Linked DNA regions of Arabidopsis thaliana. Each later gene encodes a partner of the first gene's protein in a complex. Links are inferred from orthologs where the notes say so. Each region holds a gene or a part of one and is shown on either strand. Other genes may lie near its edges. The genes, in order: FLN2 and TRX z.

What was found.
Region 2: the proteins of FLN2 (region 1) and TRX z are in contact, whole or in part, in a cryo-EM structure (PDB 8XZV), measured with the Spinacia oleracea proteins. The link is inferred for Arabidopsis thaliana from one-to-one orthologs. Residues at the interface, in XP_021858068.1 of Spinacia oleracea: Gln218, His219, Ala220, Phe221, Val222, Pro223, Ser224, Gly225, Arg226, Pro227, Ala228, Arg230, Leu231, Ile232, His234, Gln235, Ile236, His237, Leu240, Lys241, Ala243, Phe250, Ile251, Asp282, Tyr283, Thr286, Trp308, Ala310, Met311, Ser312; in XP_021862427.2 of Spinacia oleracea: Tyr73, Lys77, Ile83, Thr84, Val87, Arg88, Phe99, Tyr100, Thr102, Trp103, Gly105, Pro106, Ile108, Leu109, Gln112, Asp131, Asp133, Tyr136, Phe138, Ala139, Arg140, Asp141, Met142, Gln143, Val144, Arg145, Gly146, Leu147, Pro148, Tyr151.

Annotation. Positions count from the first base shown.
Region 1 is NC_003070.9:26,014,128-26,018,977, forward strand, and holds FLN2 (fructokinase-like protein), read left to right. Parts: upstream 1-1,896; coding exon 1,897-1,937; intron 1,938-2,185; coding exon 2,186-2,520; intron 2,521-2,602; coding exon 2,603-3,255; intron 3,256-3,335; coding exon 3,336-3,807; intron 3,808-3,894; coding exon 3,895-4,238; downstream 4,239-4,850. Other genes in the region: AT1G69190 (Dihydropterin pyrophosphokinase / Dihydropteroate synthase), read right to left, coding at 1-454, 579-582; AT1G69210 (Uncharacterized protein family UPF0090), read right to left, coding at 4,456-4,755, 4,846-4,850. UniProt on the Arabidopsis thaliana protein: Required for proper chloroplast development, most likely through regulating plastid-encoded polymerase (PEP) dependent chloroplast transcription.
Region 2 is NC_003074.8:2,122,377-2,126,867, reverse strand, and holds TRX z (Thioredoxin z), read right to left. Parts: upstream 2,714-4,491; 5' UTR 2,593-2,713; coding exon 2,362-2,592; intron 2,047-2,361; coding exon 1,924-2,046; intron 1,317-1,923; coding exon 1,236-1,316; intron 1,140-1,235; coding exon 1,023-1,139; 3' UTR 712-1,022; downstream 1-711. Other genes in the region: GATA15 (GATA transcription factor 15), read right to left, coding at 1-105, 190-210; IMPA-1 (importin alpha), read right to left, coding at 3,313-3,694, 3,799-3,926, 4,028-4,156. UniProt on the Arabidopsis thaliana protein: Thiol-disulfide oxidoreductase that plays a role in proper chloroplast development, most likely through regulating plastid-encoded polymerase (PEP) dependent chloroplast transcription.

The DNA.
Region 1 (4,850 bases):
ACTATTTTATCATTATCAATATCTTCCGTTCCAAGCAAATCTACCAAAGGTGCTAAAACAAATGGTCTTTCCCAGATTCTCTCATGGGGAATGATAAGTTTATCAGAAATTATCTTGTGCTTTCCATAGAACAATATGTCCAAGTCAAGTGGTCTTGGTCCATACCTTAAACCATTTTCTTCACGACCCATCTCTTTCTCAATTTTCTTGAGAACGTTCAAGAGTTCATGAGGTTTGAGCTTTGTGACACCTCTTATTGCAGCGTTGAGAAATCTTGGTTGGTCGGTCACATGAACAGGTTCTGTTTCGTACAAACAACTGTGTCTGGTTACACTGATCCCATAGTCTTTCATCAATCGTAAAGCTTCTTTGAAATTATTCATTCTGTTTCCAACATTGCTTCCCAAAGCTATCACGACTTCTTCGAAAGTTGTTGTTTCCAAAGATGTGAAATCTGAGTCATATACAAAACATGTTTCGAAGGTGAAATATGATTCAATACTTAACAGAAATTAGTGTATCAAAACGTAAACGCTGTTTTTTTCAACGAAAATGAAACGGATGAAAAAGATACGAACCCATTTTAGAATAGGTTCCTCCAAAATATCAGTATTGTCTGCTTCGATCTGACCTTAAAGTATACAAAACTATGAGTTTAGTCTTAGATAACAACGAAACAATTATTAGAAACACAAAAAATGGGTTCTAATATTTTAAGAACCAAGGAAGTAAACAATACTTATGTATGAGAGAGGCAAGGTGGTAGCCAATTTTCACCTACTTTTTTTCTGAACTTGTTGTGTTATCCAAGTACCTTCTGTCTTTCACGCTCGTCAAAAGTCAGCTTCTCTTTTGAATTAGATATGAAGATCTAGAAAAGAAAAGAAAAAAGAGAAGAAAACTTTGTTTTTAGAGAGATTTTGAAATTGGTAATGAATCTCTCATAATTTTGAAATTGGTAGTGAATCTCTCATAATTCTTTTCATTATCTATTCTATCTTTTACCATTTAAACATATATTTGGATAGATGATGGAAAATTGTGTGTTAGTCTCCAGCTATTTCATTCCATTTTTAAAAAATATCAAAATTTTCATAGATTTGTTCTGACTACATCAATTTTCTTTCATTCCACTCAAGGCACTCATGGTTACATTACCAATAGAAATTAATTAACCATACAAAATTCTAATTATTATAACTCCAGACGATATTATTTTCACTATATAGCAAAAAATAGCCGTTTTACCATAACATATATACAGTCTATATTTTTTGACGAAAAATAAATAAATATACAGTATATATATATATATATATCCTCGTGTTAGAATTGTATTAAGTTTTTCATCACACCATCTTTAGGCATTATTTCTATGCCAATCAAATCATTTACTCGTAAATCATCATAGTAATTATGATTTCAGTTAATCGTAAGTTTTTTGTAGCTTTGTGATGATGAGCCAATTAACTTCACAACAAAATATTTTCCTTGAAGTAGTTTTTTAATAGCAAACGATTTCACGAAAAACTTTACATAACAAATATTTCTACCTACATTAAAAGAATGTCATATAGACAATACTAAATTCACTAGCTTTAAAGAAGAAAAATGAGCCGTAAATAAATTATAGTAGACAGAATAGGGACATCTTGACGTTTTAGTATTTTGATCATAGAATGCTTGCCGTTTCGTTAAAGCGCTAAACCTCCTCCTCATCCTCTCCCAGCTAGCTCCTCTTGCGGTTTCAGAGCTTAAACCCCAATCTCCCTCAAAACTCATAAACATATTGCTCTCCTTTGTTCATTTCTGGGTTTACGCTTCTTTCGACTTTATGGGTTTCGGAGCTTAGTTTTACTACAATTTCGTTTGGAAAAGAGCTCTTATTTGATGTTCATGGCGTCTCTCTCCTTCACCCAATTCTTATCATTCCCCAGGTCCCTTTGCTTCTCTCTCTCTCTTGTTTTCTAACCTTAGGAAATTTTAGTATATGGGTTTCTATGGATTTGGCGTAGAACCAGTTTACTGCCCAAAAATGTGCGAACTTTAAGTTTAGCTCATCTTATCTTTCTACAGAAGAATGGAGTAACAATGATTTGAATTGAGGGCTATATTTGTCTTTCTGTTTGAAAATTTCACATTTTGATGTAATGGTTTTCTCATAGCTGTGCTTTGATTTTGGCAGATGCAATGCAGATGTTCCTTGTCTGCTCCAGTCGCATGGTTTTGTGAAGTTTAGAGGTGAAAGATGGAATGGGAAACAAAGCTTTTCTATGGCTGCTGGTAGGAGAAAGTTATCAGAGTCAGCACCTCTTGAAGAAGAAGGTAATGATGGAAACGGTGCGGTTGTGGGAAAGAAACCATCTAAAAGTGTTAAGAGAACAACGAAGAAGAAGGTTGTGGTTAAGGATGAACCATTAGAAGAAATTTCTGAATTTTTGGTTGATAATGATGATGTTTTAGACAAGGAAAGCATTGTCTCAGCTTTGAAACCAAAAAAGACAAGAACTAGAAAGAAAGGTAATGACTTTTACCATTTCTGAGCTGATGGTTCTCACTTGATGATTCACGAGTACTTAATTTGAATTCGACATATATACAGCTGCAGCAGCTTCTTCTGATGTGGAGGAAGTAAAAACCGAGAAGAAAGTGAGACGAAAGAGGACTGTTAAGAAAGATAAAGATGTGGAGGATGATTTAGCTACTATTATGGATGCTGAGGTTAGTGATGTCGAGGAAGCATTGGCTGTTGAAAGCACTGATACAGAGAGTGAAGAAGAAGAGATTGATCTGAGTAAACATGAAGGTGAAGATATTAGTCACACTTATGGATGGCCTCCTCTCGTGTGTTGCTTTGGATCTGCACAACATGCTTTTGTGCCTTCGGGAAGGCCAGCAAACAGGCTATTAGATTATGAACTACACGAACGGATGAGAGATGCAAAGTGGGCTCCAGAGAAGTATATCCGGGCTCCTGGAGGATGTGCAGGAGGTGTTGCTATTGCTCTTGCAAGCTTGGGTGGTAAGGTTGCTTTTATGGGCAAACTTGGGGCTGATGACTATGGTCAAGCCATGTTGTATTATCTGAATGTGTGCAAAGTCCAAACTAGATCAGTTAAGATTGATGGTAAAAGGGTTACGGCGTGTTCTACTATGAAGATCAGCAAGAGAGGTCGCTTGAAATCGACTTGTATTAAGCCATGTGCAGAGGATTCACTTTCAAAATCTGAAATCAACGTTGATGTGCTCAAAGAGGTAATATATTGTCCTGGAGATTTGGAACATTGAGTTTTTGGCTCTTTTTCTTGTTCACCAATCTCTTAACTTTGGTGCAGGCGAAAATGTTCTACTTCAGCACGCATTCTCTACTCGATAAGAAGATGATGTCAACTACGATACAAGCCATCAAGATATCAAAGCAACTAGGCAATGTCATTTTTTATGACTTGAATCTCCCTTTACCACTATGGCACTCCAGCGAAGAAACCAAGTCTTTCATACAGGAAGTGTGGAATCTTGCAGACGTCATTGAAATCACAAAACAGGAACTTGAATTCTTATGCGGAATCGAGCCTACTGAAGAGTTCGATACAGAAAACAATGACATCAGTAAGTTTGTCCATTACCCGCCAGAAACTGTGGAACAGCTTTGGCATGAAAATCTCAAGGTCTTGTTTGTGACCAATGGCACTTCTAAGATCCATTACTATACCAAAGAGCACAATGGTGCTGTTTCCGGAATGGAGGATGTTCCCATTACTCCTTTTACAAGGGATATGTCAGCATCTGGAGATGGCATCGTTGCAGGTACATTTTCACTTGTGTCATTTGTTTTTCATAGCAATTTGGAAGTTATGCTTGCGATTAACTGAACCACACTACTCTCTATTTCAGGTCTAATAAGAATGCTTACGGTTCAGCCAGATCTTATGAACAATAAAGGGTACCTGGAACGCACAGCGAGATATGCAATTGAGTGTGGTATTATTGATCAATGGTTGCTGGCACAAACCCGAGGATATCCTCCAAAGGATGACATGGAAGAAGAAGAAGATGATGAAGAAGAAGATGAAGTGGAATCAGATCCAAACGGTATAAGATCGATAACAGAGAAGGAATACAGAACCTCAAAGCCTTATGATGAACCAGATGGTCCATACGTTATGAAACCAGTAGAGGAAAGGGAGTACAAGAAGTTAGAGCTTGTTGGCTCAATGTTTGAAGATGGTAGTTTATGATTTTCATAAGATTTGATAATGTTTCTGTTAGTCAGCTTTTTTTTCCTGTTCACATCTTACAACATCTTAGTAGTGTGAATTTTTGTCATATGTTTTGATATCTCACTCACCATCTCAACTAATACAAAATCACTTGAAATTATCCGGAAACAGCAATGTGAAACTGCAGTGACGATGAACTTACTTTAATAGCAACTCTACTTCTACGTCTACTTAACTAATCCAAGTAGAGATTTATCTTCTTGTGATCTGCGAAAGGCAGTGTGATTCTCAAGTCCTTTTGTTTCCGGCTTAACGGTCTGCCTTTGCTTTCGGGATCTCTGTTCTCCCTTACATCTGCTAATTTCCAGACACAGTTATCTGATTCTGCATCTATAGACTCCAAGAGGAACACTCCACTCTTTACTGCTTTCCTCGAGTTTGTTTCTTCTACATAGCTTACTGTCATTGGCATATCCTTGAATCGGGGCAAGTCCTCTGGGACTCTCAGTAGCCTCTCCGCTCCTGGAGATGACACCTACACAGAAAAAAAAAAAACGGAAACAAAATTTTGTAACAAAACTGAACCAAGTGAGAGTTGATTCACTGGGGAAAGACTCTTTTTGACCTCAA
Region 2 (4,491 bases), on another chromosome or scaffold:
ACTCTTCTTCTCGTTGCTGATAGCTTCATTACTGCTACTGCTGCTGTGTTCTTCGATCGCATCTACTGATGTGAGTTTGCTTTCCATTGATTCTGAATCGATTACCTAAACACAGAAGTAGTAGCGCGTTAAGCTTAATCAATCCGATCGCTAGATATCAGAGCGAGAAGAGGGAATCAGATCACTCACTTTCTCGGTGGGATCTAGCATTACCAGCTTCAGGAACCGCAGATCGTGATTCGTGAACTAGTGTCAAGTCAAGAAGATATGGATCTAGGGTTTCCGATAGAGATCAGAGTAGGCAAGAAACATATAAGACTTGATGAGAATTCAAAGACGAGTGGATCAGGGGAACAAAAATTTGAATCTTGAAAGTAGAAACAGAGAGAGAGAGTGTCAGAGAAACAGAGATTTTTTTTTTTTGATTTCAAAGAAACGACCCAACAGATACCTCACAAAAACTAAACCAAATGGCCAATTATAAATGAAATTGGTTCGGCTAAACCCTAGCTTTAATTTATTGCTTTAAAAGACGAAATTACCCCTGTTTACGTCCTCTAATATCAGGCTAGAGCCACCCGCCAAATATCGCACATAACCCTGTAGGAAAATTTTCGCATAATTTGGGCGCCATTTCGAATGGCGTCGTGTTTTTCCTAATAATGGTGTTTAATAATACTTTCGTCCCGGTTTAATGTCAACCAAGAAATGGGGAAAAAGTCTTTAATGACGTCATATCTCTCTCTTCCAAGTTTAAGCTACAGTGTTATTACATGGACCGGATCGTGAATTTGATGTGCCACATAACTTGGATCCGACCAGATCAACAGCTCTAACCTTTTCACTTAGGTATTGAAACGAACACTGCATACAAACAAATGTCTTAAGACTACATTCTTCATCTATGAAACTAGAAGACATTCTTACCACATCTCAAATGCAAACAACACGGTACCAATCCTAAATTACGGCGATTCTAATCAAATCATAAAGAGTACAAAAGTGTTTTCTCAGTAAAAACTTCACATCTCGTTGTCAATGATATCGTGCATCATCTGTAACGGAATTAGCCCTTCTGTCCTGATTGCATCTTTGCTTGGGTCAGGACTGATGAAGAATAATGTAGGTAACCCTCGAACCTGTATCACAAGAGTTGGTTAATGTAAGAATTTACATTGATATGCTGAGAGGAGATTCATGAAATTTAAAAACATAAGCTGCAAGTTACAGTATACCTGCATGTCGCGTGCAAACTCGTACTCATCATCTGTATCAACTTTCACGATTATTGCATTGCTCTCATACTCTACTGCAAGCTGTTTCACAATGAGCAAAAACTATTTAACACGAGTGTCATGAGTGAAAAAGCAAGTAGATAAAGCCAATCAATAAGAAGATGCTTAGATTCTCCTATCTCACACATTTCTTTTGAATTTGTAGACATGCCAACTACGCGACAAGGTATCTTTGTCATAAAGTATGGGAGAAACAGTCGTAAGATTGGAACTGTTTAACTCCTTTATCTAATTCACCAAAAGAACTAAACCATAGAAGAGACTTGATTAATGAGAGCGGTCTTTCAACTCTAGTCAATTGCCAAACCAAGACCCAAGACAAATCCAGAGTGCCCCCAATACATTTTCATAGCCCCTCTTTAAACATTAAGATCTCAGTAAACTGTAAAGATTTGTTGATGAGCTACCAAAGCTATAATGCACTGCCCAACTCCTATGCAAGTTACAATAGTACTGCACTAGACTTAACAGTAATATACCATCACATTTCAAGATTCAAGTATATTATAACGAACAACCGGGTTCCAAGAGCCAACGTTTGGAAATATATAAGCATTCTAGAGTCTACACATGAAGCAAGTGAAATGGAGAATGTGTAAGAAAGTTGAGTTATGAGAATCCATGGTACCATTTCTAGTTCCTGGGCCATCAAGATACAAGGTCCACACCATGTCGCATAAAAATCAACAATCAACGGCACCTTCCTATCTCCTTTCACCAGTTCCTGAAGTTCTTGAGCTGACAATTTCTTCTGTCAAACCATAAGAAAAGGAACAAAAAACATCCAGAAATCAGTGAGGCTTCCACATGATGGTATCAACAAGAGTCATTCATAAGATTCAAATTAAGCAAATCTCTATTCTGAAGTATTTAACAGTGTACTGGTCGAATCTTTGATAGAACTACCATATATCGTTCTTATATAATAACTACATCTATGCCCAGCCAACTTAATTTCCCAGAAAGGCGAAAAAGGAAGTCGTAAAACGAAAACAAACATGAAATTTTTTGAAATCGACAAAATATGTTGTTTGGAGCGTGAGAGAAAGCGAGAAATTGTCCGTACCACAAGATAATCTTCTCTGACAAACTTGCCGCGAGGCGGAGGACAGAGAAGCTTTCGCGGACGCGTCAACGGCGAGAAGGGCAAGTTTCCGGCGGTGGAGGAGGAGAACGGCGCGGCTACCGGTCGGATTTCCCTCCGGATAAAGAGAGAAGACGGAGCATGGAGGGAGGATAGAATCGGCGATAACGGAGTGTTGAGGTGTGGAAAAGTTCTGGATTGAACAAGAGCCATTTTGGAAATCGATTTCTGCTTCAAAATGATTTCAGTTTTAGCTTTTGAGGGGTTTTAGACGATAAGGCAATTGAACTGGACATATACTAATAGTTCATTAGTTCTTGTCTTTTTACAATTTACTTGCTCAGGTAAAGTCAAATTCATAATAATTTATTGCTGTTTTATGTATACTTTACTTCATAATTCAAATAAAGATTCGAGTCTTTATAACTCGAAGATAAACCCTTCCTTAGGTTTGACCAAAAAAAAAAAAACCTTTCCTTAGGAAATCAGACACCAAACATATTAAGACCAATAAAGGGTTTATGGTTTCAATTTTTTAACCGACATACAAACTGTTGTCAACACAAAAACAAAAGACTCCACTGTAAGTTTTTATAACCCTCCAAAATTTAAAAACAACACAAAGGTCGACTCACGACCGGTGTACCAGTCATTTCAAAAAAATAGCCCTGGACAATGAACCAAACACTTTCTCAGACGCTGTACTTTTAAACCGACCACCCGGTACAAACCTCTGAGACCAGACCAGACCAGACCTGGAGTATAACCATGGCAGTGAAACTAGACTCTGACTGACTCTGACCTTTCACCATTCTCAAGTTGCAAGCTTCCAATTCCATTCCTGTGGGTTTATATTGATCTAAATATCAGATTTTGCATGTTTTCATCAAGAGACGTTGTTAGAAATTTAAGAATTTTTACTTTTATTTACCTTCAGCTGAAGTTGAATCCTCCGGATGGTACTGGAGCTTGATTCCCTCCAAACTGGAACCCAGCCTGAGAACCATCAACACCTGGAGGTTGCTGTGTCTCATCATCTTCCTCTTCAAGCCAGTATGTCTCCAGAATTTTAACAGCCTTCTCATAGATCTCATTGTTGTCATGGCTCTGAAGGTTCTCGATCTTTTCTAGCCCTTCTGCATCATCAATCAGCTGAGCGTAATAGTTCATGTCTCCTGTGTGACCCAAGTTCTTCTCTGCCTCTCCCACCTTCAAAATGTTTTCCAATCCTTCAAGGCAGACAGTTATGATTCTTGGATCTGGGCAAACCAGGAGATCGCATAATGGTTTTATGCACCCTTGCTCCACCAGGTATCTGTATAACCAACGGGAACAGAACATCAATATATATATACACAAAGTATATATATGAGAGAAGAAACTGGAAGTTAGAGGAACGCAAAAAAGACAGTGACATACTTTATTTGATCATGAGAACCACCTGAAGTTGCATTTGAAATTGCCCATGCAGCTTCCTTCTTAATGTCAAATTCAGCATTTTGAAGCAGACTCACCAACGGGGAAATCAAATTAGCCTCAACTACCGTCTGCAACCATCAGGGGAAAAACAACACAATTAATGAATAGGTATAGAAGTCTGGATGGGAAACGGTACAAAACATATGATGAAACAGTACTAATTGCCTACCTGGATCTGATCTTTGTTGCCTGCTGTGATGTTTGAAATCGTCCAGCAAGCTTCCTTCTTTATGCTTTTCTTATGGTTTTGAGTGAGCAGGTTGGCAAGACAAGGTAGAGCACCACTATTGATCACGCACTGGAGAAGAAGTAAAATCAGATTTCCAAGTAAAACGATGTAAACTATTTCAGATATAGAAAAATCACCTTTGCTAAACTCATGAAAAACCAAATTTCACCAAGCAAAAAATTTGTGCATGTTGTTGGTTTAAACTTTAAAACAAGAATTAATTGTAACAAAACTCAAACACAAGCAATATATAGCAAAAAAGGCACTGCATCCTATCTGCTAATATGGACAGAGTGGCAACAGAGGGAGAATCTCATGATAAGCATTCAATACTCCCATTTTTCACATAAAATGTTGGATATGAATAATAGCAACAGGGTGCCATACATTTGAACAACACCTCA